Sus scrofa: one gene and its partner. The protein of the gene in region 2 interacts with the protein of the main gene of each other region in a biochemical or structural test. Links are inferred from orthologs where the notes say so. Each region holds a gene or a part of one and is shown on either strand. Other genes may lie near its edges.

Region 1 (3,661 bases), on a different chromosome or scaffold from region 2:
ATGCAACACGTATCAATCTACCCATTTTTGTGGCGCCTACCACAGTGAACCAGACAAGCAGATAACCACATCTGCACAGAACCTACAAAAATATTCTTTTCTTTTCCAGATCCCTGTTCTTTTCTTCATTTTAAATAGACATCATATGGATGCATTTAAAATCTAAGAGGAAAGTCAGTTGGGAAGGTTCATCTAACTTTTATTGCCTATTTCAGCTGTGATCTCAAAGGAATGGAAGCATAAATGACGAATGGATTTTATTAACAAAAATAACTGGCTGAAGTTTATGCGATAAAAGCAGCTATGTGCAAAGCAAAGGCATACCGACTGAGAAAGCAGCAGTGCAGAGAAGGAAGAAGGGAGGAGGCTATGGAGACAATCATTTAAAAAAAAATCTAAAGGTAATTTATACAACCTTTATGAAGGTTACACTTTGTTAACTTGTTTCTTAAGAATTGTTCTGTATTCTTGTAATCTCAGATTCACCTTAAAGGAAAAAAACTTAACCAAAGTAGCAGTAAAAGAAGGGATATAAAATGTGTTCAGATCTATAAATAATTCCTTATTTACTTAACTTGGAACACAATGATTTCATTAAAATATATGGATCAAAAAACGTGAAACTGTCACACTGTGTAGAGAGGTCCTCTCCCCCACAACACTGGCATGTAAGAGCCATGTGAAACTGCTTGGAAGGTTACTAACCTCTGGGGATGAAGTTTTTTAACCTTTCAGCTTGCATATTGGAAACTAATTCACTCTGGGCAAGTTGGGTACTCTAATTGAAGGATATTTAACTACTCCAGTTAAAAAAAAAAAAAAGAATAAAGAGTTTAAAAAACAGCAACTCAAGAAACCCTTCCTCTCAACTTCTATAAGGCCAAGGCTCCTAGGACAACCTCCTACCTATCCAGTCTTTGTTGCTGGAAGAGAACACTTCTGGTGGTGCTAGGCAACAGGCATGATGTGACAAACCTAACGAGACTTCAAAACTTTTTCCACAGAAAGATAAGGTAAACAAGATACACTTAGTACCACACCCACAAAAACGCAGAGGCAGCCAGGAATGCTCCCCCCAACTCCCCCCACCCCACCCTCCGACCTCCAGCTGGTCAGGAAACAATGTCTCTACAATCAAGATAGAGATCTGGCCCAGGGTGTTCAGGCATTCCTCACCTCTAGGCTGGCCTACAGCTCCACTCTCCAATGCCATCCAAACCAGAACTGGAACATTTTGTTAGGAAGCGGGCAAACGTCCAAAATACCCGACTATCCTCGCCCCAGTTCTTTTTGCAACCAAAATCTGTTTGGGCTACTGAGCATGCTCCGACTTAAGACAGGCGCCACATGGGAGTTTTCAAAGCTTAGGCTCCAAACTCCACGTAATAACAGCAGCTGAAAGGGGAAGAGAGCAAAGAGGGGGAGGGAGGGGGAGGGGAGCCGACCCGACCGTGAATCTGAGTCCTGACACTCGACTGGAGGACCCCGGCAGGGGTGGAAGAGGCTGTAGGCAAACAGTCACTGTCTGCCGCTTGCCTTGCAGCAGCTGATAGGAAGTAGAAGAAATCTCTGCCAGGATGAAAACTGGCATGGCAAGTGGCTCAAACCAGGTCGAAGCACCAGCTGGGTGCAGCGGCAGGTCACAAATAACCAGGGTGTAATTCCCACCGATAAGCGTGGATCCTTAAGATAAGGACTGAAACACAAAGCGACGGCGGCACGGATTGATTCATCGAGCCACCGGGCTGCTTGGCAGGGTGGCCGACCCGGCTGCTCGGCCGAGCTCGGCCATCCTCCCAGGGGTGTGTTTGAGGGTGGCGCTTAGAAGAGGGAGAACAAACCGCTCCTCCGGACCGAAGCGAGGCCGGGGAGCCCCGCGAAGCGTCCTGAACGCCTCCCGCCTCAGTGCGGGCGGTAACGGCGGCGTCGGGACAAGGGCCAGCCTCTGCCCCGCCTCGGGACGGCCCCGGCCGCAGGCCAGGCCTCCGCAGCCGGCCGAGCCGCACCATGGGCGCCCGCCTGGACCCGGGCAGGCCGGGGCTCGGCCTACCTCCCGCCCCGCAGGCCCGGCTGGTTTCCGCTCCGCCCGCGGCCGCACGCCCCCGCCTCGGCCCGAGTCCGGCCGCTAGGGCAGAGCCGCGTCCCCGCACAGCCCGCAGCCCCCGCTCCCGCTCGCCCGCCCGTCCCAGGGCCCCACATTCACTCACGGGCCGGCGGCGCGCGCTCTCCCGGCGCCGTCGCCGCGCTTTCCCTCGGCGCAACTTTATTAGCAGCTCGGCCGCGGGACACGCGCACGGCGCCCGCTCGCCCAGGACCCGGATGAAGGAGGGAAGGAGCCGGGGAGGACGCCGCGGGCTCGGCGCATGCGCGCAAGCGGCCGAGTGACCGCTGCGGGACGGAGGGAAGGGCCGTCTCGCTCCGGCGGCTGAGGAAGCCTCCGCGCTTGGCTCGGCGCCCGCAATCTCCGGCTTCCGATCTGCGGATCTGGTGGAGGCTTCCCGTGTCCACGGCCAGGCCCAGGAGTGGCAGTCGGCTAGTTCCCACCACCGCTAGTAGTCTCCATTAACCAAGTCAGCCCACGTTGTAATAAAATAAAATAATTGTCCTTGACATGGACGGTTGAAGATTTTCTCAGTCACATATAAAGTGTAAATAAAAACATCTTCAGATGCCCCTTAGCTCCGCTTAATGATTTGCAATACAAATATAAATCTGAGGGCAGAGAGTCCTCTTTCTGCGGAGAGAGTAAGTTCAAAACAAGCTGCTTGGATACAGCTGCTTACTGGATGCGGCCTGAAAACCCCTCCCACGTGGAAATCTTGGCGCCTCTACCATCCTCCACCCCTTTTGCAGTGCCAGACCTTGGAGTTCCCCGAACTAGGGCTGTCCACGTACTGACACCCCAGCAGTGCAAGAGAGGCCGTCCTGGACAGCTGGGGACACCGAGGGGCGCAGAGGGCGCCCACAGACTGATAGAGCTCCACTCCATCTCCCCAAACAAGAGCCTACTTCTCTTTTCTCAGATACTGAGGCTCTTCTCAAAGCTCCCTCCCTCCCCCATCTTCCAAAGGGTCAGCATGTCCCAGAAAACGAGAGTGGTACCTTCTAAGGCACCCACTTTGGAGACGACGAAAGAAGAAGACTTTTCGGCAATTTTGTTTTTATTTGAAAACTTCCATACGGGTTTTCCATATTCCGCTATGGGTTAACTCAAATCAATCTAAGTCAAAATCAAAATTGGAGTCATTTTCAAATCCTCCCTCTCATTCCCTAAACCAAACCGTCGCGAAATCTTATTAATACTACCTTCCAAATATATCCCAAATCGGACCATTTCCTGTGGCCTCTTTGGCCACCACTGTGGCCTGCCCCAAGGTCATCTCACCTGAAACAAGTGGGAAGCAGCTGTCTTGCTCCAGGCTTCAGTGGTTGGTTTCAACGGTGAAGAGATATAGTCAATGGGAAATGTCCCTACATTCAAGGCAGTCATCTCAGACGTGGACAGAGGCCTCTGAGGGAGTGGGAAACCAGCGAGGCTCTGCTCTGTTCAAAGGGGGCAGCTGCTATTTCACCCCAGCTAACCATCACCATGGGGGAATGTGGGAATAAGAACCCAGGGTTGGCAGATCTTCTGATTTTTCAAAAACAGCTGGAAATCTGG
Region 2 (3,743 bases):
GGCGGCGGCGGCGGCGGCGGAAGCGGCGAGGGCGGCGGGCGTCCGGCTCAGAGGTGGTGTCGGCGGCGGCAGCAGCGGCTCTGGACTGGGCTCGGCTAGGAGCGAGCGAGGGTCGGGGGCGCAGGGTCGAGCGCCGATCCTCCAGCTCGACCATCCACCAGTAGCCCAGACGCCTGGGCCGCGGAGTTTGTGTCCCGGCTCGGACCCCGGCGCCCAGCCCGGAGCCGTAACCTTGAGGCGGCGGCGGCGGGGCCGGGCCGGGCCGGGCCGGGGGGCGGCGGCGCTGGATCCGCGGCTGCCAGATCGTTGGCGGGAGATGTCGAACCCCGGAACGCGCAGGAACGGCTCCAGCATCAAGATCCGTCTGACAGGTACGGCCGGCGGGAGGGCCCCGCCGCCCCCCCAGCGCCCACTCGCACCCCGCACGGCCCCTCGGCAGCCCCGGAATTTCCCGCAGAGCGCCCTGGGGAAGTGGCCCTCCCCCACGCCGGCCGTGGTCCCAGGACCTCGTCGCCCTCTTAGGCTAGTGCCCCTCATCTCCCTCCCGGCCCCGCCCCCTCGCTGCTCCCCGGCCCCGCCCCCTCGCTTCTCGCCCCCCCATCCGCCCTCTAGCTTCTCTCCCCCCTCCACCTGCCCCCTCTCTTCTCCCCTCCTGGCCCCCTCCGGTTCACTCCCTCCATCCTTCTCGCTCCCGCTCCCTGTTCTCCCCCAGGCCCCTCGCGTCCCCCTCCTGGCCCCGCCCCCTAGCTTCTCTGCTTTTGGACCCCCTCCGTTTTCATCCCCTGCATCCTCTTTTCGCTCCCCCTCCTCCTTCTTGCCCCTCGCTTTTCCCCTCCTGGCCCCGCCCCCACTTCTCAACTCCCTCCTTCCCCTCAATTTCTTCCCTTTCCCCTCACCTGCCCCCTCTCTTTTCCCTCTTGGTTCCGCCCCCTGCTTCTCCTCTCCTTCCCACCCTCTGTCGCTTCCCAGTCTCTACCCCCACCTGCCCCCTCGCTTCTCCCCTCCCGGCCTTGCCTCCCGCTTCTCCCTCCTGGTCCCCCCACCACCCCGCCCACCGACTTCTCACCCCTCCCCCATCAGCTCTCTCGCCTTCCTCTCTTTACCACCCCTCCCCACTTGCCCCCTCGCTTCTCCCCTCCTGGCCCCGCCCCCTCACTTTCCCCCTAAGCCCCGCCCCTCATTTTCTACCTAGTCCCGCCCTCGCTTATCTCCCAGCCCCGCCCCCTTGCCTCCGTCTCGCGCCTCCACCCTTTCCTTCAGCCTCGAATTCCTCAATCCTATCTCCTAGCTTCTCCTGGTCTTGTTCTCATTTCCCCTCTGGTCCAGACCTCTTCAGTCTGGTGCACTTCCTTTCTCTCTCAAACCAGGCCACTGTCTCCTCTTGACTGTGCCGCTTCCTTTTCTGCCCTGCACTTCGCCGTCACCCCCTCACCCCCCGACATCCTTAAACACCGCCAACCCCCGCCCCCCTCACGCACGCTCTGGAGGCTCCGGCGGCTGCACGAACGCAGGCTCCTTGATTCACTCTCTTTTAGTCTTCAATGAAATGCCCGTGTCTCCTAGGTGGCTCTGTAGTGCCACCTTCAAGGGTGAGCGCGAAGCTCTGCTCTGGGCCTGCGACGTGGTGGTTTGGATGCGCGTAGCTGGCAACCGTCTGGCGGGGCCCCTCGCTAGCAGGCTCCAGCGATCCTGGACCAGTTTGCATCCTCGTCCACCCTTTCTCTCAGTACTCCACGGCTGCTGCCCGGTCTCCTGGGTTGAATTCCCACCTGAGGCCGAAATGAAATGCTGCAAATACAGTTCGGCTGGGGGACTTTCCAAACGTGCATATTTCCAGCTCTGGAAATGAAATAAAAAGTTCAGGCTAATCCCTGTCAGGGGTTTTCCCCTGGATTTTTTCTGTTCCGTGTCTGGTCTGATGATGACTCCAAAGTCATTCTGGTCAGATTCTTTCCAAAGGACAGTGAGCGTTTGGGATACTTTATGGCAAATGCATGGCCCTCAGTTATTGGTGAAATCCATGAAAACAACAGTGGGTCATTTTTTCAAACTAAAATTTCCTTTGGAGGTTCTTAGTTGTTGCATGACCCATTTTTTTTTTTTTGTTTCCAGGAAAGGGAGATTCGGGGATTTTTGTTTCTGGAGAAACAATTCTTTCTTCCAGGGCTGGTAGGAAACGCTCACTACGTAGATACAGTATATAAATACATTGTTATTTTTATGGTTACATAAAAACCACGTTTTTGACTTTGTAGTGCTTGTAAAACTTCAATTACTGACAACTTTAATTTGGTCCTCATTTACAATGTAATCTATAATTGACATCAGATTGGTTTCACTTTTCTTGTTAAAAGCAGAAGTAACTGATTTTGTGAGTTTGGGTGGAAGCGTGATTAATGTTTTAGAAGCACTAGGTTTTCATTACAACGTTTGTGTCAGGTGTAGATGTTTTAATCAAGCCTAGTTGGCAGGTCGGGACCTGGGCCTTTTTTTCCTGGAAGGGGTGGAGTGGGGGCTCTATCCTTCCTCCCAAATTATTTTGGGACTCAGGCACTTGGATGCCATAGGTTCGGAGATGCTTTAAGGAGTTTTTGGATAGTGTCTGATGTTGAAGGATTACGCGAGGAGAGTTATTTCCAAAGCACCTTTTCCCTTTCTCCCAGCTGATGTTATTACGGATCTGAAGGGAATCCCTGAGTTTGCTCCTCCCTGCAGCGAGATGGAGAATTTAGCTGTGGATGCAGACCTGCTTGATGCCAGGCGTCTGATGAACAATAATTTACTTGGAAAGGTTGGAACCAGATACTTGGTTGGCAGCGGACTAGGTTTTGGTCTCTTCTTTGAGCTTGCCAGGGGGAGTGGGATCACTGCTGGCATCTTGGGAAGCCATCTTTCAGGAGGTATGTGCTTTTGTCACAGGTTTCAGAGTTTATTTCCTTGTGTGATATTTGAAACCATGTTTTAAAACAAGGGTTATTCTAACCAGTCAGTTGATACCAGAGAGCATAGTTCAATGAAAAGTATGAAGACACTGGAATATAAGAGTGTTAGAAGTTGGCGACCACTAAAAGTTGTATTTGGTGGTGAGTGGAGTGTTGGGTTTAGAATTGGGAGACTCCGTTCTGGTAAGATCTACCATTAACTGCCTGATACAGAACCAATTATTTGACCCTTGTGAGTTCTGTTTTCTAATGTACAAAGTGAGATTTCAGCCCATGGTAACTTTCTTTTCTTTTCCTTCTTGAGGGCATATCAATTTGGCTCCCTACTTGTTCCAAATTACCATTGGCTTATGCTTTCTATTGTTGAGTGTCAATCCAGATATTCAGAATTGCTGTTAAAACCCAGCGCTTCTGTTTGATTGAAGCCAAGCGTTCCTTTTGTGTATGGGTTACATTTTATGATTTCTCCCCCACCCCCCACCCCCAGCCCTTTTGGTTTTTGAAAACTCTTGGGTAGTATGTCGCACTGCTGAAACAGTAGAAGAATGTTTGGGTCTTTATACTGAAAAGAATATGATTTTAATGAATGTCTTTGTGGTATTTTAACAGGAAAATAGTTTTTAAAGGGTTTCAGTAGGTTTGGAGCATAACATATGCAAAATCAAGTGATGTTTGCTGAAGAGCTGTCTTGCAGATATTTTAGAGTGCACCGGCAAATCAGACACTTTGGAAACTATTTTAAATTCAAGCAGGATTTGCAAAACCTTGTTCTTATGTGGTGCACAAATGAATCCCAGATAC

Evidence for each region.
Region 1: of the proteins of SMURF1 (region 2) and SMAD5, one has a biochemical effect on the other in vitro, tested with the Homo sapiens proteins (3 studies listed by BioGRID, with this or other methods). The link is inferred for Sus scrofa from reciprocal best matches to the Homo sapiens genes SMURF1 and SMAD5.

What each region holds. Positions count from the first base shown.
Region 1 is NC_010444.4:138,286,774-138,290,434, reverse strand, and holds the start of SMAD5 (mothers against decapentaplegic homolog 5), read right to left. Parts: upstream 2,801-3,661; 5' UTR 2,208-2,800; intron 1,911-2,207; exon of another isoform or gene 1,177-1,910; intron 1-1,176. UniProt on the Homo sapiens protein: Transcriptional regulator that plays a role in various cellular processes including embryonic development, cell differentiation, angiogenesis and tissue homeostasis.
Region 2 is NC_010445.4:6,138,824-6,142,566, reverse strand, and holds the start of SMURF1 (E3 ubiquitin-protein ligase SMURF1), read left to right. Parts: upstream 1-1,188; 5' UTR 1,189-2,605; coding exon 2,606-2,900; intron 2,901-3,743. UniProt on the Homo sapiens protein: E3 ubiquitin-protein ligase that acts as a negative regulator of BMP signaling pathway. Mediates ubiquitination and degradation of SMAD1 and SMAD5, 2 receptor-regulated SMADs specific for the BMP pathway.